4 linked regions of the Oryctolagus cuniculus genome follow. The protein of the gene in region 1 interacts with the protein of each later gene in a biochemical or structural test. Links are inferred from orthologs where the notes say so. Each region holds a gene or a part of one and is shown in the gene's direction. Other genes may lie near its edges.

Region 1 (4,403 bases):
CAGTTCCGAATGTTTTATCTAAGTGTCACATTCTGTCATACTCAAGGCTTTAGGACTTCCATGGATATGGCTCAGACTATCCCAGAAAGATACATTGCTAGTCCATTCCTCTTAATGGAAGGACTTTGAAAGAATCTGAAATTCAAACTTTTTTACCATTTGGCCATTGATACTGAATTGGCAAGATACTCACTGAAAAGACATGAGGTATCTAGAATTAAGGGAATACAAGGCCGGCGCCGTGGCTCAATAGGCTAATCCTCCACCTTGCGGCGCCGGCACACCGGGTTCTAGTCCCGGTTGGGGCGCCGGATTCTGTCCCGGTTGCCCCTCTTCCAGGCCAGCTCTCTGCTATGGCCAGGGAGTGCAGTGGAGGATGGCCCAGGTGCTTGGGCCCTGCACCCCATGGGAGACCAGGAAAAGCACCTGGCTCCTGGCTCCTGCCATCGGATCAGCGCGGTGCGCCGGCTGCAGCGGCGGCCATTGGAGGGTGATCCAACGGCAAAGGAAGACCTTTCTCTCTCTCTCTCTCTCTGTCCACTCTGCCTGTCAAAAAAAAAAAAAAAAAAAAAAAAAAGGGAATACAAAAGAAATAAGTGCTATGGTTCCTCTGCTCACAAAATATAATATCTGGTTATATGAGTATATGGTTCATAAAGATGTATTTGGTGGAGTTATAAAACTATAGAGGAAATTATTGAATTAATCCTTGTAAAATAAAATAATGAACAGCTACAAAAAATCATCAAGATTCATGTAGATTTTTCAGTATGCTTAAGTCTTGTATAGCTAGCATTTATCAAGGTATTGACACTTGATTGTTTTTCATCTTAAGTAACCTCTAAAATAATATGAGTTAGGAATTAAATGAAAAGCAGCTTGAACTTTAAAATCAGAAGTACTAAACTTGGAGAAAATTTGTCATAATACACATTTTCAGTGTTATACTTTTTCTTTTTTTAAGCAACCTGTCACATAATAGGCGTATGCCAAAAATTGGCCCTTATCCAGATTACTCTTCTTCCTCATACATTGAAGACTCCATCCATCATACTGACAGCATTGTGAAGAACATTTCCTCTGAGCATTCCGTGTCCAGCACACCTTTGACTACAGGGGAAAAGAACCGGAACTCAATTAATTATGAACGGCAACAAGCACAAGCTCGAATCCCCAGCCCTGAAACGAGCGTCACCAGCCTGTCCACCAATACAACAACCACAAACACCACTGGTCTCACTCCTAGTACTGGCATGACTACTATATCTGAGGTGCCGTACCCAGATGAAACCAGTCTTCATGCTGCAAATGCTACACAGTCGATTGGGCCAACACCTGTGTGCTTACAGCTAACAGAAGAAGACTTGGCGACCAACAAGCTAGACCCAAAAGAAGTTGATAAGAACCTCAAAGAAAGCTCTGATGAGAATCTCATGGAACATTCTCTTAAACAGTTCAGTGGGCCAGACCCATTGAGCAGCACCAGTTCTAGCTTGCTTTACCCACTCATAAAGCTTGCAGTAGAAGTGACTGGACAGCAGGACTTCACACAGGCTGCAAATGGCCAAGCATGTTTAATTCCTGATGTTCCACCTACTCAGATTTATCCTCTTCCCAAACAACAGAACCTTCCTAAGAGACCTACTAGTTTGCCTTTGAACACCAAAAATTCAACAAAGGAGCCCCGGCTAAAATTTGGCAGCAAGCACAAATCAAACTTGAAACAAGTAGAAACTGGGGTTGCCAAAATGAACACAATCAATGCAGCAGAACCTCATGTGGTGACTGTTACCATGAATGGGGTGGCAGGTAGAAACCATGTTAACTCCCATGCTGCCACAACCCAGTACGCCAATGGGACAGTACCATCTGGCCAGACAGCCAACATAGGGGCACATAGGGCCCAAGAAATGCTGCAGAATCAATTTATCAGTGAGGACACCAGGCTGAATATTAATTCCAGTCCTGATGAGCATGAACCTTTACTGAGACGAGAGCAGCAGGCTGGCCGTGATGAAGGTGTTCTGGATCGTCTGGTGGACAGGAGGGAACGGCCACTAGAAGGTGGCCGAACTAATTCCAATAACAACAACAGCAATCCATGTTCAGAACAAGATGTTCTTACACAAAGTGTTCCAAGCACAGTAGCAGATCCTGGGCCATCAAAGCCCAGAAGAGCACAGAGGCCTAATTCTCTGGATCTTTCAGCCACAAATGTCCTGGATGGCAGCAGCATGCAGAGTAAGTAGAGGGTTCCTGTGTGTCTTAGAATCAGATTGTGTTTCAACTAGTGATTTTTTTTTGACAGGCAGAGTGGACAGTGAGAGAGAGAGACAGAGAGAAAGGTCTTCCTTTGCCGTTGGTTCACCCTCCGATGGCCGCTGTGGCCGGCACGCTGCGGCCAGCGCACCGCGCTGATCCGATGGCAGGAGCCAGGTACTTCTCCTGGTCTCCCATGGGGTGCAGGGCCCAAGGACTTGGGCCATCCTCCACTGCACTCCCTGGCCACAGCAGAGAGCTGGCCAGGAAGAGGGGCAACCGGGACAGAATCCGGCGCCCTGACCGGGACTAGAACCCAGTGTGCCAGCGCCGCGAGGCAGAGGATTAGCCTACAACTAGTGATTATTTACCTTTAGCATTTTTTAAAATAAAATAAACCATTTGGTTGGGTCTCAAAAGTAATTAGACTATTTTGAAGAAAAAATGCAATAGGAATTTTGTCATTGAAGAATTAACTCCGTATCTTGGTAATCAGATAATTAACACTTTAATTTGTGCATTATATGGCTGCTGCCTTATAATACAACTGTCACACTTGGTGTGAATAGTTGAGATTAAGTACTCACCAATTCAAGATTCCGAATAGTGTTAACGCCAGTGTAACTTTTCAGACAGTTTGTTGTGAATATTAACATATATTATTATATCTGCATTTAGAGTTTATCAAACTATAATAAATCTTAGAAATCCAGAGAAATTTCAGAAAAGTCTCTTTAAAGAAACTACAAGGTTGTCTCGGTTTCTTAGTGTCATCTTTCTCCAGAGTAACACATTGGGTTTCTCACATACCTGTAGCATTGTGCTGTGGGCCCCATAGCAACATAAACAAATAAACTGATGCTTGGTTTCTGGCCCTAAGTAAATTACAGCACAAGACAATTACGTCTACCAAAATCTATAACAGTCATCATTATATAAAATAGTTTCTGTTTTAGACTGACAGTACTCATGGGAGAAGAAGTTAGGTTTCATGGTTGTCAGGGACTACAAGATGGGCCCCTGTCCCATTGCTTGAGTGGCTTGTCTCGTGGAGCAGTGGATGTACCCCGATTGCCAGGCTTTGTTTCAGTGAAAGATCTCCTTTGATGTATGAGAAGAGGGAATAACTAGGAAATCTGTACTATAATATTTCTGATATCCTCCTAAAGAATATTGTTTGTCAGGTAACTTTCAAGTTTGATCCACTTTAGTACTAGGTAGAATAAAGTACATTTTACCGAGTTACAGTTTCTACCAAAACCAAAGTATTTGAGAATGTTGCTGAAAACTTTGAATTTTCTTCTCTGATCTTACTTTTTGGATTTTTTTCCCTCTATTTCCTCCTTTGCCTTGTGGAGTAATTCAATCAGTTTTAAGAGACCATTTGTCTTAAAAAGTGTCAAAAATAAATTGGTTAAGCTTTGCCAAGAACACATTGCCTGTCCTCATGACTTTGGAGAAATGTCCATCAACACCTTCTGCAGACACTGATTTGCTACAATCCTAACCCTTTACTTCTCACCAGTTCTTTATGTTTAGTTCATTTTTCTGTACTTTTGTTTTCAGTAGGTGAGTCAACACAAGATGGCAAATCAGGATCAGGTGAAAAGATCAAGAAACGTGTGAAAACTCCCTATTCTCTTAAGCGGTGGCGCCCCTCCACCTGGGTCATCTCCACTGAACCACTGGACTGTGAGGTCAACAGCTATGGCAACGATAGGGCAGTTCATTCCAAATCCAGCACCGCTGTTTACCTTGCAGAAGGAGGCACTGCCACAACCATGGTGTCTAAAGATATAGGAATGAACTGTCTGTGAAATGTTCTCAAGCCTACGGAGTAAAATTATTTTTTGCATCATTTAAACATGCAGAAGATATTTAAAAAAAAAAAAACTGCTTTATCCTCCCCGTCAGCACCCCTCCCAACCCTGCAACCAGGACTTGCTTTAAATAGATTTCAGCTATGCAGAAAAATTTAGCTTATGCTTCCATATTTTTTAATTTTGTTTTTTTTTTAAGTTTTGCACTTTTGTTTAGTCTTGCTAAAGTTATATTTGTCTGTTATGACCACAGAATTATATGTGTGTGTATCAAAAGTGGTCTCAAAATATTTTTTTAAGAAAAAAGCAAAAACAATGTATTGC
Region 2 (4,992 bases), on another chromosome or scaffold:
GAAGTGACGGCTTCCATAAAACGAAATAAAATCCTAGCCACCCTCCCCTCGCGCTGCCACACACACACACACACACACACACACACACGTGTCGTGTATAGGAAGAGACGGCCAAGTCACACCCGCAGACCCGGGTTTAAAGGGACGTGTGACTTGGTTGGAAGCACACGCGTGTATTAGGTATGTTTTCATGAACACACATGCGCGCACACGCGTTTGAGTGCAAATGCATACCCAAATTTATGTAACTGTAAATGCGCACACATGGATTTCCATCTGCAGCTACATAGATGTCTCTGTGTTAAATATCGGCCAGTTTCCAGCTTCCCCTCGCCGGGGAAATACAGAAGCGTCTACCACACCACGTCTGCACCAAGATGCTCTGTAACTTCCCTGAGCTCTTTTCTGAAAAACTTCAAACTGAAACCTGAATAACGGGCCCGGTGGAGACACCGAGGCCAGAACCTGCCGTCGCCCCGCATCTCAGCCCCGGAGAACACGCGAGGGTCGGGTACAAGGGTGACATCTCCGGCCCTAGGGCAGGGGGGTGGAAGCGCCAGCGCCCCCCTCGGCGGCCGCGCGCCCCCGCCCTTGGCCCCACCCCGCTGCGGCTGCCCCCGGCGCGCCGTCCACACCCCTGAGCGCCGCTCCCGCCCGCTCGGGGATCCCCGGCGAGCAGTGCCGCCGAGGGGGAGGTGTTCGGCCGGGGCCGGGAGGGAGCCAGCAGGCGGCGTCCCCTTTAAAAGCCGCGAGCGCCGCGCCACGGCGCCGCCGCCGCCGCCGTCGCCGCCGGAGTCCTCGCCCCGCCGCGCTGCGCCCGGCTCGCGCTGCGCCCGCCGCTCCGGTTCCCACACCCCGCCGGGGATTGGCAGCCGCCGCCGGACATCAGCCGCCGCCGGCGACCCGAGCGCCCTCGAGGCGAGCGCCGCGCGGATTACTGGGCGCTGCGAGGCACCCGCGCACCGCAGACCCCTCGCGGGTTGGAGCACCCGGCCGTTGCGCGCCACAGCTCGGTGGCCTCGGCTGCCCGGGCCGCGCCGGAGCCGCGGACGGGCGCGCGGAGCGCCGGAGAGTGCGGAGCCAAGCCCGAGCGCCGCGATGCCGAGCACCTCCTGCCGGGGATCGGGGGCTCGAGACGTGCCAGCCGAGGTGTGATCGGACCCCAAGCCGGCCACAAAGGGCACTTGGCCCGAGGGCTAGGACAGCAGCGAGGGCAGAGCGCGGCCACCCGCTTCGGCGGCCCGGGACTCGGCTGGGCTCGCGGAGAATGCGCCCGAGGACGACGGGGCGCCGGAGCCGCGGCTGTTTCCACTGGCCAGCGCTGATGGGGGTGCGCTGGCGGCAGGCAGAGTGATGCGGGGGGGCAGCTCGCCGGGCATCGAGATCGCCGCTGTGCCCTTCCCCGGACCCGGCGTCGCCCAGGATGGCTGCCCCGAGCCATGGGCCGCGGCGGAGCTAGCGCTGAGCGCCCGACCCTCGCCCCCCGGAGTCCCGCAGGCGGCCCCGCGCGCGGCCACGCGTCCCGCGGGCGCTGGTGCCTGAGGACGACGACAGCAGCAGCCTTTCCTCTCTGCCTTCCCTTCCCTTCCCCGGCCCGCACTCCTCCCCCTGCTCGCTGTTGTTGTGTGTCAGCACTTGGCTGGAGACTTCTTGAACTTGCAGCCTTAACTTGCGCTGCTCCCCGCTTCGCGCCGGTGCCCGCGCCCCGGCGGAGCCGCCTCGCTGCCTCCGAGCCCCGCCGCGCTGCAGCCCTCTGCCGGGCCGAGCCCGGGACGCCGCGCCCTGCGCGAGGAGAGGGACTCGGCGGCCGGCGCCGGGAGGAGAAGCCGGAGGCCACGGGAAGGGAGCGGACGCCCGGTCCCCGCGCCAGGTCCCTGGGCCAGAGCTTTTTCCATGTGGAGGCTCTTTCAATGGACGTGTCCCCGCGGGCTTCTTAGACGGACTGCGGTCTCCTAAAGGTACGGGACGCGCGGGCCCCGGGGTGCGGGGCGGGCGCTGGGCTCGCGCGGCGGCGGCGGCGGCGGCGGACCCCCCTCCGGGGCGCGGCCGGGCAGGACGTAAACAGACCCCTCTCCGGGGCCACGTGCAGCCCAGCCCGGCGGGGGCGCCCCCTTTCCCCGCGCCCGCACGCTTCCGCCCCTCCTCCGCTCTTCCTCGATATATTATTAAGGCTGTTAACACTTAGATGATTTTTTTAAAAAATTAAAAAGTCAAAGAGCTGCCTTGGAGAGGATGGCCCCTGGGTTTCACCCGTTAGCTGCCAACCTGTACGCCGTGGCACGGCGCTGTCTTCATCAAGATTCTGGGGGAGACCCGCGCTCTCCATCAGAGCCCCGTCCCCCGTAGGAAAGCGCTGGGCGTTAGGGGTTCTCTCCGCCGGTTGCTAGAAGCGCTAGAGGGCCAGGGTCCCGCTCGCGCCGTGGGTTTCCCCGCTGGCACGTGCGCGCGTGGAGATCGGCCCTTTATGTAACGCCGGGAAGGTACCTGCGTACGCGACCGCACCGGGGGCTCGCGGGCGGGCGTGGAGCGGGGCGTCCCGACACCCAGCGGGCAGCCACCGCCAAGCGGCTTCAGAAGTCGTGGCCCTGAGTTTGCAGGGTCTGGAAGTGGTGAACTGTGGCTCAGGAAGTTCCGTGCCCCGGTTCTCAGGAAGTCACATGCGCGCGCGTTTATAGGCAAGGGAGCGCTCTGAGTTTGGCTAGGCGCGGCAGGGTGTCAGATCAAGCGGTGATCCCCCAGACTCCCTGCATGGCTGCCAGCTCTGGTGTGTGTGTGTGTGTGTGTGTGTGTGTGTGTGTGTGTGTGTGTGTATGGGAGGGGGGAGTGACAACCACTTAAGTTCAGTGGGGAGGGAGCGAGGGATAAGGCCAACCCCCAAATCAAGTATCAGACGGGCCCAGGCTGGGGTGGGAGAGAGAAAAGTGCTCTGGGTCAGGAACTTGGGGCCCTCCATTCCCCCACCCCACCCCAAACGTTAGAGCTGTGGCCGCTCTGACATAGCCAGCAAGTGCTGCAAGGCAGGAGGGCGCCCTGGAGGAGGAGGCGAGCGAGCGCAGCGGGAGCCCAGGCCGCGGGGGCGGGAAGGGAGAGGACTGGGCGGGGAACTCGGGTGACTCACGTCGGCCCTGTCCGCAGGTCGACCATGGTGGCCGGGACCCGCTGTCTTCTAGCGTTGCTGCTTCCCCAGGTCCTCCTGGGCGGCGCGGCCGGCCTCATCCCCGAGCTGGGCCGCAGGAAGTTCGCGGCGTCATCGGGCCGCCCCTCGCCCCAGCCCTCGGACGACATCCTGAGCGAGTTCGAGTTGCGGTTGCTCAGCATGTTCGGTCTGAAGCAGAGACCCACCCCTAGCAGGGACGCCGTGGTGCCCCCCTACATGCTGGACTTGTACCGCCGGCACTCCGGCCAGCCTGGCGCGCCCGCCCCGGACCACCGGCTGGAGAGGGCAGCCAGCCGCGCCAACACGGTGCGCAGCTTCCACCACGAAGGTAAGGCGAGGCGCGCGCCGCAGGGGCAGAGACGCGGGCGGGTTGCTACCCGCAACGCCGAGCACCAAGGCCGGCTGCGGGCATCCCTGGAGAGGCAGTTCAGCCAGAGCTCTGCGGATGCTGTCCCTCTTGCTTCCGTACCGACCTTTCTGAATCTGATTTTCAGGCACTGCTCGTGTGGCGGGCCAGCCAGGGATTCCCCCTTGGTCGGTCCGTACCCGTTTCCTGGCACGCAGCCAGGAGGGCGACTCCTCCTCCAGGAACCAGAGCGGAATCAAGGGATGGGGAAGACGAGGCTAAAAGGCATGCCCCTGGTCAGCTAAGCGTGCAGGAATTCCGCAGTGGGAGAAGGAGGAGGTTTGGGATTTCTTGAAGTCTGTTTGGAAGCCCTTGCTCCATAAATCTGTGTCTCCAGCTTAAGCCAGGGTTTCAAGCTAGACTGAGGCAAGGGCGGAATTCTCAGATAGTCTTGAAAAATCAAAGCCCAGGGCCCCCAAGTCTTCCTAATTTACAGTGGATCTGGGCCTGCGTTGGAAGATTTCGAATCCCTATCTAATCCCCGTGGGAGATCAATTCCACAATCAATCTTATTGTTTCCACAATGACTTTCTTGTCTCGTGCTTAAATCTGAGATAGGCTCAGAGTAGAGACAAAGCAAGCCTTCAGATAAAACCTTTTGCAGCAGCTGCCTGTCTTCCTTCACATGCATTGAAATGTGATTTTTTTTTTCTTTTATGATCCTGGATGTGGTTTTCCTAAGGTAGGATATTTCTGCTGGTTTCATCAGGAAGGCATTTAGTGGATTTGAAATGTCTTAGGGCAGCTATGGAGCTCTGTTGCACCTAACTTCTTAGCACCGTTAGTCAACTACATGCTACATTTCCATTCTTTTGTTCTTTTAAATGTGCCTTTGGCTTAATAGCTCTAAATACAGAATGCATTCCTGCGAATTCTAGAAAAGAGTGGAGTTACAGATCACAGAACAGCCACTTGCACTGACTGATGTTCCCTTTTCCTTGACGAAAACAATTTTCTCTCAGTGGGACGTTTTCAAGAACGATGGGTGATAATGAGAAGAAGTCCCAAAGGCAGGTCCCATCACACAAGCTACTTCTCATCCCAGCTGTCACAGTGAAGGGAGCTGGGAGCTGGTAGCACGTGTTCCAGCACATTTTGAAGTAAAGTGTTTTCTGAAGATCTGAGGATCAACATCTTTTTCTATCTGTTGAGAATTCAGCCACTGACAGCAGAAGTTTGTTGTTACAGGAGAAAGGTTTTCCTTCCTGTGTCTTCTGTCATGGTAACCATGAGATGACTACAGGTTCATCGCTTCCAGTTGACACAGATTAGAATAGTATTTCTGGATAAAAAGGGAATAGGAGTTAGCTGGATAGGTCTCCTCTTAACGTTCATTTTTAAGGCTAGGAAGGTATGGTGTCTTTCTCATAACTTTGAGAGGAAGATTATTTAAAAATCAAAAGCACCTGAGACTTTGACATGTGTAACT
Region 3 (4,889 bases), on another chromosome or scaffold:
CTGAATCGGTCTGGAGGCGTGAGCCCAGGCGCCCGCCGCTCCGCCTCGATGGCCCCGCCGACCCGTTTCTTTGGGGGAGCTGCTGGACCGGGAGGGAGGGAACGGGGGCGGTGAGAGCGTCCTCGGTAATGGAGCCAGAGCAGAAATTACTCCAGCAGCCGCTGCCTCTCACTTTCCCACAGCGAGCACAGCCAGCACCCCCGCCCCCGAGCGCACGCGTGACAGGGGCCGCAGCGCCGGGCCGCCCTGCTGCTCGGAGCGCCCGCAGCCGCTCGCCAGGGGTGATGTTTGGCCTCGCCGAGACCCCAGGGAGGACCGGCAGGGCGCGCGCGCGCGTGCTTGGGGTCGTGCGAGCGTGCGCGGAGGGTCCCGCTGCGCTTCCCGGTACCCATGCCTCTCGGTGCGGAGGCTCCGGGCGGCTGAAACTCCACTGCCAACCCCTGGAGCGAGGCTCGGGCCGCAAAGCGCAAACCCTTTCTTTCGTGCCCGGGACCTGTGGCTAAAGCGTCCCGGGGACGAGGGGCCGGCCAGACCCTCGGCATGGCGCGCCGCAGCTGGAGGCAAAGGCCAGGTCCTCCGCGCGCTGGCGGCGGGGCACCGGCCGAGGTTTCCGCTGAGCGCCGCCGTCGGGAGCTCCTCCCCGGCCGCCGAGGCTCGGGCGGCGGGCGCGGAGGTTGGCCTCGCCTGGAGGGGCGGGGACCGAGCGGGGGCGGCGGGTGGAGGCGGGGCGGGCGGGGCCTCGGCGTTCACGTGACTCCGAGGGGCTGGAAGAAAAACAGAGCCTGTCTGCGCCCGAGTCTCATTATATTCAAATATTCATTTTAGGAGCCATTCCGTAGTGCCATCCCGAGCGACGCGCGGCCGCAGCTTCTCTGAGCCTTTCCAGCAAGTCTGTTCAAGATTGGCTGCCAAGAATCATGGACTGTTATTATATGCCTTGTTTTCTGTCAGTGAGTAGACACCTCTTGCTTACCCCCTCCCGGGAATTCACTGCCCTCCACGCTCCGCTCGCGGCCCCGCAGCCGGCGCGCGCAGACCCAGCCGGTTCTTTTTAACAAGTGCTGCCGGCTCCGATCGGGCGCGGTGCAGGGCAAGGGAGCGCGCGGGGCTGGGGTTGGGGTGGGGGCTCAGAGACGACAGGTCCGCTGCCCCGGGGTGGTCCTGCGCGCCCGCCACTCCGCGTCCCTGCCCCGCTGGCCTAGGGGAGCGTTCCGAGCGCCCGTGGAGCGGTCCCAGCCTCTTGTCAAAGCTCGCGGAGTTCTCCCCGGAGCCGGCTGCCACCCCCTTCCCCGGGAGGGAGCGTGCCGACACGATCACACCTCCTGCCGAGTATTTCACCCTCGTCGGCCACGGCGCAAAACCGGCCGCCGGGGCAGCCCCCCCGGACCCCGCCGCCCGCCCCGCGCCTCCGTCCAGTCCCTGCCTCTCCGCCTTCCCTCCCTGACGGTCCCGACCAGCTGGAGGTTGTGGAAGTTGGGCTCGGAGGGCGGAGGAAGGTGGGGGTGGAGGGAGAGGGGGGAGAGGCTGAAAGTCGGCCGTGGAGAGCGAGGGCATTTGCGTTCTCCCTCCCCCCCCTCCTCACCCCCCCCTCCATGTTAACTGTTTATTCCTGAAGAAGCCACGCTGAGATCATGGCTCAGATGGCAGTTGGGACAAAAAAAGATTAACAGGATGGAGGCTATCTGATTTGGGGTTATTTGACTGTAAACAAGTTAGACCAAGTAATTACAGGGCAATTTTTACTTTCAGGCCGTGCACGGCTGCAGCTGCTTGGGGGGGGGAGGGGGTGCGAGGGAGAAGGCACAGACTTGGGTCTTTCCGACCTGCTTGGCATCCCGACCCTGTGCTGCTAGCCCTATATGCATATGCGGACACCTCTCTGTTTCTCTCTATTTACTGGTGTTTATTTATTCCACCCCCCCACCCCTCCCCAGAGACACCATGATTCCTGGTAACCGAATGCTGATGGTCGTTTTATTATGCCAAGTCCTGTTAGGAGGCGCGAGCCATGCTAGTTTGATACCTGAGACGGGGAAGAAAAAAGTCGCCGAGATTCAGGGCCACGCGGGAGGACGCCGCTCAGGGCAGAGCCATGAGCTCCTGCGGGACTTCGAGGCGACGCTGCTGCAGATGTTCGGGCTGCGCCGCCGCCCGCAGCCTAGCAAGAGCGCCGTCATCCCGGATTACATGCGGGATCTTTACCGGCTCCAGTCAGGGGAGGAGGAGGAGGAAGAGCAGATGCCCAGCGGCGGTCTCGAGTATCCGGAGCGTCCGGCCAGCCGGGCCAACACCGTGAGGAGCTTCCACCACGAAGGTGAGTCCCTGGCTGGCGTCTGGGCGAGGGGGGAGGGCCAGCAGGCCTGGCTGCGGGGGCCCTGAGCACCCTGGGGGAAGAGTTCAGGTTACATCAAAGCCCCAATCGGAGAGGCTGGGGAACGGGGCTGCTCACCTCCAAGAATTTCCAGAGCTGCCTCTGAACTTATTTGGGGGGGGGGCGGTTAGGGGGGTGGAGGTGGGGGTAGTTGGGAGATGGGGACTGAGGCTGCTAGTCCCGCTGGTGTGTTTCTGCCATATCAAAGCTGTTTCTGCCCCCCGCCCCCCCTTTTTCCAAAGCACCTACCGAATTTAATATTACAGCTGTGTGCGTTGGTCAGGTTTATTCAATAGGGGCCTTGTAATCTGATCTGAATGTTTCCTAGCGGATGTTTCTTTTCCAAAGTAAATCTGAGTTATGAATCCACCAGCATCATTACTGTGTTGGAATTTATTTTCCCCCCTGTAACATGATCAACAAGGCATGCTCTGTGTTTCCAAGATCGCTGGGGAAATGTTTAGTAACATACTCGAAAGAGGAAGAGGGAGAGAGTGGTTGCATGCATGTTTCCTCCAGCCTGGGCTCTGTGGGCCAAGCCAAGAGGGGGCTTTAAATGGGAGTCTGAGCGTGATGGAGAAAGGGAGTGGCTGCGTGGAAGCTGTCAGGCACATGGGGGAGGCTGGGAGATGCTCTGTCTTGGGTGCTAGACAGGCGCCAGCTAAGTGTTGTTGGTTCCCTGGGTGCCCTACCTAGCTGCTCCTTCAGACCCACAGGCAGACACCCCTCCCCTGCCCCCACCGTAGTCTTCCAGCTTATAAGCAGAGTTCACCACTCATCACCCCGCTCAGCTACTTCCGCCATCCCCATCTCTCAAAAAAGTTCACGTGCTCTTTCATTTTCCCTTCCTTCTCACCGTGCCCAGAACATCTGGAGAACATCCCAGGGACCAGCGAAAACTCTGCTTTTCGTTTCCTCTTTAACCTCAGCAGCATCCCAGAGAACGAGGCCATCTCCTCCGCAGAGCTCCGGCTCTTCCGGGAGCAGGTGGACCAGGGCCCCGACTGGGAGCGGGGCTTCCACCGGATAAACATTTATGAGGTTATGAAGCCCCCGGCGGAAGCAGTGCCCGGGCACCTCATCACACGACTACTGGACACGAGACTGGTCCACCACAATGTGACACGGTGGGAAACTTTTGACGTGAGCCCCGCGGTCCTGCGATGGACCCGGGAGAAGCAGCCCAACCATGGGCTGGCCGTGGAGGTGACTCACCTCCACCATACACGGACCCATCAGGGCCAGCATGTCAGGGTTAGCCGATCGTTACCTCAAGGGAGTGGGGATTGGGCCCAGCTCCGGCCCCTCCTGGTCACCTTTGGCCACGACGGCCGGGGCCATGCCTTGACCCGACGCCGGAGGGCCAAGCGGAGCCCTAAGCATCACCCACAGCGGGCCCGGAAGAAGAATAAGAACTGCCGGCGCCACGCGCTCTACGTGGACTTCAGCGACGTGGGCTGGAATGACTGGATTGTGGCCCCCCCAGGCTACCAGGCCTTCTACTGCCACGGGGACTGCCCCTTTCCACTGGCGGACCACCTCAACTCCACCAACCACGCCATCGTGCAGACCCTGGTCAACTCTGTCAACTCCAGCATCCCCAAAGCCTGTTGTGTGCCCACTGAACTGAGCGCCATCTCCATGCTGTACCTGGATGAGTATGACAAGGTGGTACTGAAGAATTACCAGGAGATGGTAGTAGAGGGGTGTGGGTGCCGCTGAGATCCCGCAGCCCTTGAGGACGGACAGACAGACAGACACACACACGTTCCCATCCATTCACCCACACACTACACAGACTGCTTCCTTATAGCTGGACTTTTTATCTTTGAAAAAAGAAAAAAAAGGAAAAAACCTAAACATTCACCTTGACCTTATTTATGACTTTACGTGCAAATGTTTTGACCATATTGATCATATATTTTGACAAAATATATTTATAACTACGTATTAAAAGAAAAAAATAAAATGAGTCATTATTTTAAAGGTACACTCTGGCCTTTTTCTCTCTTACCCTTTTTCTTTTCGGTTGTGCTGTTGAGAGAGGCTGGGGGCATTGATGGAAGTTGGGGTGGGGACAGGAAGTAAACCAGTGGCCCAGAGAGATGGTAATTGCTGGGATGAATTGTTTTCCATTTCTATTTAATGTTAACAAGGACGCAGCATCCTCTCCCATCTGGATGACACATGCCTTGGAGAAACAGTGGGATGAAAGGAGCAGGTCAGATGAAAGGCCCCGTTTGGGGCTCCTCGTACATCTTCTGTGTTTGCTCACCTGTTGGAGGTGCGGCCCAGCCGACTGTGATGAAGTCTGAGCTCCCACCTTTACGATACCTCGGGGTGTCTCTGGTTATTACAGGCGCCAGTGTGTTTTCAAACCAAAACTAATTTGCACAGCTCACATATGAATCTGTGGGTTTTTTCTTTGTTTTGAAGTGGACTTTACCCAGTAAAATATATGATATGCCCTACATTTTATTAAAAAAAAGCTTGATAACCACTACTTTAATACACCACT
Region 4 (5,085 bases), on another chromosome or scaffold:
GGGTAGGTAGAGGGAGGGATGACCTAGGAGATCCTGCGGGTCTGGAAGCCACTTACGAAGGAGTTACGAGTTTGGACGGAGAATAGGGACAGTGATGGGGACATGGAGGGTGGAGGGGCGGGGAGATGTGTGCCAGAGAGGCCTGGGTAAGGGACTGAAGCCAAGCCAAGTGACTGGAAGAGAGGTGGCTGCCCTCCGTCGAGCTCCCCAGAGAGAGCCTCCGAGGTGGGGAGGGGAGCTCTATTGTCTTTTCTGACCTCAGAGCCCCAGATGCAGCTCGGATGGCCAAAGTGTGCTGTTGTGCTCTGAAGATCAGTGAGGGCCCAGGGTCCACCAGGCGAGGACCGCTGGGTGCCGGCACACCCCTGCAGACATCACAGAGCTTCTGAGACCTCAGAGTCTCTTAGATTAAGAAGGATGCCATGGAACTCCTGGCCAGTGTTGTTGCAGTGAGGTGGACACGAGGGAGTGATTGGCTCTGTCTGGAGATCGAGAAAGGCTTCCTGGAGGAGGTGAGATGTCAGCTAGACTTGTCAGGATGAGGAGGGCTTCCTTCATTGTGGGAGAGGAGGACATTCTAGGTGAAGGGAACAACTCTTACCCCACGATTCTGGGGCGAGTTGCCCATGGCCTCTAAGGGACAGGCTCCCGAGCGAAGGGGGCTTCCTGGCTTCCAGGAGGCACTTTAAGAAACCCCAAGTCCAGCTGGAATTGGGACTTGTAGAGCTACCAGAAACGCATGGAGGAAGCCGCTTTTCCAGCCTCCTGCAGGGGTCGCTGCTGCCCCAGGCTGGGGCCGTAGCCTCTGGACTCAGCCCTCCTGCTCGAAGGGAACTCTGAGGAGGTTGGGGGCTGCCGGGACCTGTCTCCGTCCACACAGCGGGCTCCGGGGTGCCAGTGCCCCCAAGCCTGAAGAACTCACCTGCGCTCCGTCAGTGGCATTCGGCGGGGAGTGCAGCGGGCACCAAGATCTTTCTCTCTCTCTCTGGGTCACCTCAAGTTTATTCAAATAAAAGAAACTGTAGGTAAATGCTGCCATCTGTGCTACCTCCCGCCAACACACACACACATACACACACACACACACACACAGAACAAATCAGGCCCAGGACTACACGCAGGGGTTGAAACCGCCTTAAAAACATGGCAAGGACTTACTGAAAACCCACACTGCCCGTGTTTCTGGGGCTTAAGATCTTCGAGCTCATTCCCGGGCATGCCTCTGCAGGCAGGTGGGGTGGGCTGCTCCGTGAAGTGCACATGAGGACCCCTGAGTCTGCTGGGCCGACCGGGAGCCCCCTAAGCCGCAAGTCCCGCTGTGGGGCTCTGTGCCAAGAGCCCCCGTGAGCCAGGGCCTGCAAAGGGCAGCCGTGACTTTTTTCACATAAATATATCGTACTTAAATGAGTTTAGACAGCATGACATCAGAGAGTAATTAAATTGGTTTGGGTTGGAATTCCGTTTCCAATTCCTGAGTTCAGGTTTGTAAAAGATTTTTCTGAGCACCTGCAGGCCTCTGTGTATGTGTGTGTGTATGTGTGTGTGTGTGTGTGTGTGAAGTATTTTCACTGGAAAGGATTCAAAACCAGGGGGGGAGGAAAAAAAAACTGGAGCACACAGGCAGCATTACGCCATTCTTCCTTCTTGGAAAAATCCCTCAGTCTTATACAAGCCTCCTTCAAGCCCTCAGTCAGTTGTGCAGGAGAAAGGGGGCGGTCGGCTTTCTCCTTTCAAGAACGAGTTATTTTCAGCTGCTGACTGGAGACGGTGCACGTCTGGATCCGCAAGCATTTCCACGATGGGACTGGACACAAACACACGCCCGGCAGACTTCAGGAGTCTCAGACTGAGAGCGCCGTCCCTGCTGCCGCTACTGCCGCCGCCGCTGCCTTTGAAAGTCCACTCCTTTCATGGTTTTTCCTGCCAAGCCAGAGGCTCCTTCGCTGCTGCCGCCGTTCTCTTTGGTGTCATCCAGCGGCTGGCCAGAGGATGAGACTCCCCACACTCCTCACTCTCTTGCTTTGGCACCTGGCTTGGCTGGACCTGGAATTCGTCTGCTCTGTGTTGGGTGCCCCTGACTTGGGCCAGAGACCCCCGGGGCCCAGGCCAGTGTTGGCCAAAGCGGAGGCCAAGGAGAGGCCCGCGGTGGCCCGGAGCATCTTCAGGCCCGGGGGTCACAGCTATGGTGGGGGGGCCACCAATGCCAGGGCCAAGGGAGGCACCGGGCAGACGGGAGGCCTGACCCAGCCCAAGAAGGATGAACCCAAAAAGCTGCTGCCCCCCAGAACGGGTGGCCCTGAACCCAAGCCAGGACACCCTCCCCAGACCAGGCAGACTGCAGCACGAACTGTGACCCCAAAAGGACAGCTTCCCGGGGGGAAGGCACCCCCAAAGGCAGGATCTGTCCCCAGCTCCTTCCTGCTGAAGAAGGCCAGGGAGCCCGGGCCCCCTCGAGAGCCCAAGGAACCGTTCCGCCCGCCCCCCATCACACCCCACGAGTACATGCTCTCGCTGTACAGGACGCTGTCCGATGCTGACAGAAAGGGAGGCAACAGCAGCGTGAAGTTGGAGGCTGGCCTGGCCAACACCATCACCAGCTTTATTGACAAAGGGCAAGGTGAGGGGGTGGGGTGGCAGGGGTGCGACTCAGAGGGAGGGGCAGCTGCATGCATGGCGGGGTGGGAGAGGGGGCCTTGCACGGGCTGCACTGGGGCAGGACGGTGTGTGCACCTGGCCTGGGATGGGGTGCCTGACTTCTTTCTCTCTTACACACACACACACACACACACACACACACACACACACACACCAGGTCCAGGCTGCTGGCAGGTCATTGCTGGAAGGCGACTAGTGATCGCCAGATCCACTTCCTGCAAGGTGCAGAGAGGCGCACTGGAGCCGGGAGAGGGGACGGAGCTGCCCGTGAGGGGCAGATCGGAGACCAGACTCCGAGAGTCTTGACTACCAGGCCGTGCTCTGCGTCTGGGGGGGCTGGCCAGATTTTGCAGGCTCCTGGAGTTTGTAGATTTTCTCACTGGGTGGAGAGAGAGCTGAGTCTCCCGGTCGCCGAGGCTCTGCAGCTTTGCTCTTGGGCTGAGGGCAGAGGAAGCCGGGGCATCTTGCAGTCGTGGAAGGATGTCTGGAGACGTGGGGAGACTGCAGACCCAGGGTCTAACTCGCAATGTGACCCTGAGAAAAAGGCCCTTCTCACGGCAGGCTCTGTTCTCCCACGTGCACAGCCGTTTGGGCGGTGGGCTGTGTGATTTCTGAGTGCCCCTCAAAAACTGAAAACCTGATGTCCTGTCCTAACCACAGATCATTTTCATCCTGAACCTGGGGGAACACCTGCTCCCCTCACTTCTCCCTCTGCCCACCTCGTGTCACTGTTGCAGCTCTTCTTCTAACTCGCTGTGTGAGCTCAGCAAGTCTCCCTCTCCGGGCTGGCTGCAGCGTCTCCCTAGTGTGAGAAGGGGGGGTGGGCCGCTGATCGCTCGGGTTGCTTGCAGCTCCTGGGCTCTGGTTCAGAGTTTGAGGGGCTTTGGCTGGCAGGGTGGGGGAGGGGACAGAGATTGGGAGAGGTTCCTCATTAGAGCTGGCCTGTAGGGGAAGCACAGGGGTGGGGGTGCGGGTGGCGGGGGTGAGGCACAGAGGCAGCAGGTCTGGCTGAGGTGGGGGGAGGTGGCCTGGCTGCCTGCCCAGCCAGGGAAAGCTGTGACCCCTTGGGGAATCATAAAATCAGTCCTTGTGCCCCCCAGCACTAACGGGGCTTCGGGAGGGGGAGATGGGGAGTTTAAAGGCCTAATTAGTCACCTAGAGCAATATATGAATGTTCCCCAATGGCAAATTGGTATTTAGGAAGAAGGGTATGCCGATTCAGAGATACTACTAGCTTCGCACACACAGTTTGGATTTATACATGCATGCGGAATCACACACACACACATACACTCACATACCTCTTTATACACACAATTCTCACATGTAAGTATACATGTAAGAACTGACCTTTCAGATAGTCACACAAGCCCAATGCAACACACTTGTAACATGTCACTCACACACCCGAGGGTGCGTCTAAAAGTTTTTAAAAATGGAATCGAAAGACATATATTTTTGGTGCAAACATTTTGAAACTCATGCGTACTCAGCCATGATCTTTCCTATTCAGAATAAACCCAGTCACACACACATACAAACCGTCACACACTCACACATGCCGCAGAGCAAGACATATCCACAAAAGCCTGGCAAGCTGAGTTATCCACAGCTTTGTCGGTAACTCTGTGTGACCTTAGTCAAGTCGCCCCGCATGCCTGTCCCTCATCTACAAAGCGAGAACACCCAGATCTCCTCCAGGAGAGTGTGAAAGCAGCTCAGATCGGGGATCAAAAGCTTCCGGCTAGCGTTCCAACCCTGGCTGGGTTTTCTCAAGCAAGCACCTAACTTCTCAGAGCCGTAGGTTCCTCCGGAAAAACAAAGGTGATTTTAATGTCTGCTCTGCCAGTCTGATAACTGAGCTATCCTGTTGCATGATGGATAGGAGAGGGAGAGAGGCAGAAGGCAGCTCCAAGGCTGGCGGATCGTTGACACATGTAGATCATTGGCACAAACCACCCCCAAATCACTCAAGGCAACCGCAGCTACATTTGCAGACGAACACCAGACCTTGGTTGCCTGTGGGAAGCTCCCTCCTTTTGAAAACGGTTGTCAGTGCTCTGGGTCTTGGCCTCTGTTGGAGTGGGGAAGAGGTTAAAGAGAGCTCTCTCGTAGGGGGGAGAGAGAGAGAGCGAGTGAGTGAGCGAGCTGGGGTGCTCCCGTGGGGCCTCGAGGTGACTGGCTCCCCGAGGTGGGGGATGCAGGCAATGACTTCTGGGTGTTCTCTCTAGATGACCGAGGGCCTGTGGTCAGGAAGCAGAGGTACGTGTTTGACATTAGTGCCCTGGAGAAGGACGGGCTGCTGGGGGCTGAGCTGCGGATCTTGCGGAAGAGGCCCTCAGACACAGCCAAGCCAGTGGCCCCCGGCAGCGGGCGGGCTGCCCAGCTGAAGCTGTCCAGCTGCCCCAGCGGTCGGCAGCCGGCAGCCTT

What was found. The genes of interacting proteins can lie anywhere in the genome.
Region 2: the proteins of BMPR2 (region 1) and BMP2 form a complex in vitro, tested with the Homo sapiens proteins (4 studies listed by BioGRID and IntAct, with this or other methods). The link is inferred for Oryctolagus cuniculus from reciprocal best matches to the Homo sapiens genes BMPR2 and BMP2.
Region 3: the proteins of BMPR2 (region 1) and BMP4 form a complex in vitro, tested with the Homo sapiens proteins (2 studies listed by BioGRID). The link is inferred for Oryctolagus cuniculus from reciprocal best matches to the Homo sapiens genes BMPR2 and BMP4.
Region 4: the proteins of BMPR2 (region 1) and GDF5 form a complex in vitro, tested with the Homo sapiens proteins (2 studies listed by BioGRID and IntAct, with this or other methods). The link is inferred for Oryctolagus cuniculus from reciprocal best matches to the Homo sapiens genes BMPR2 and GDF5.

The regions. Positions count from the first base shown.
Region 1 is NC_091434.1:37,454,396-37,458,798, reverse strand, and holds part of BMPR2 (bone morphogenetic protein receptor type-2), read left to right. Parts: intron 1-964; coding exon 965-2,241; intron 2,242-3,825; coding exon 3,826-4,076; 3' UTR 4,077-4,403. UniProt on the Homo sapiens protein: On ligand binding, forms a receptor complex consisting of two type II and two type I transmembrane serine/threonine kinases.
Region 2 is NC_091442.1:31,667,602-31,672,593, forward strand, and holds the start of BMP2 (bone morphogenetic protein 2 precursor), read left to right. Parts: upstream 1-1,896; 5' UTR 1,897-1,958; intron 1,959-3,135; 5' UTR 3,136-3,142; coding exon 3,143-3,485; intron 3,486-4,992. UniProt on the Homo sapiens protein: Growth factor of the TGF-beta superfamily that plays essential roles in many developmental processes, including cardiogenesis, neurogenesis, and osteogenesis. Induces cartilage and bone formation.
Region 3 is NC_091443.1:22,465,868-22,470,756, forward strand, and holds BMP4 (bone morphogenetic protein 4 precursor), read left to right. Parts: upstream 1-1,941; coding exon 1,942-2,314; intron 2,315-3,236; coding exon 3,237-4,093; downstream 4,094-4,889.
Region 4 is NC_091442.1:22,724,593-22,729,677, forward strand, and holds the start of GDF5 (growth/differentiation factor 5 precursor), read left to right. Parts: upstream 1-1,989; coding exon 1,990-2,617; intron 2,618-4,886; coding exon 4,887-5,085. UniProt on the Homo sapiens protein: Growth factor involved in bone and cartilage formation. During cartilage development regulates differentiation of chondrogenic tissue through two pathways.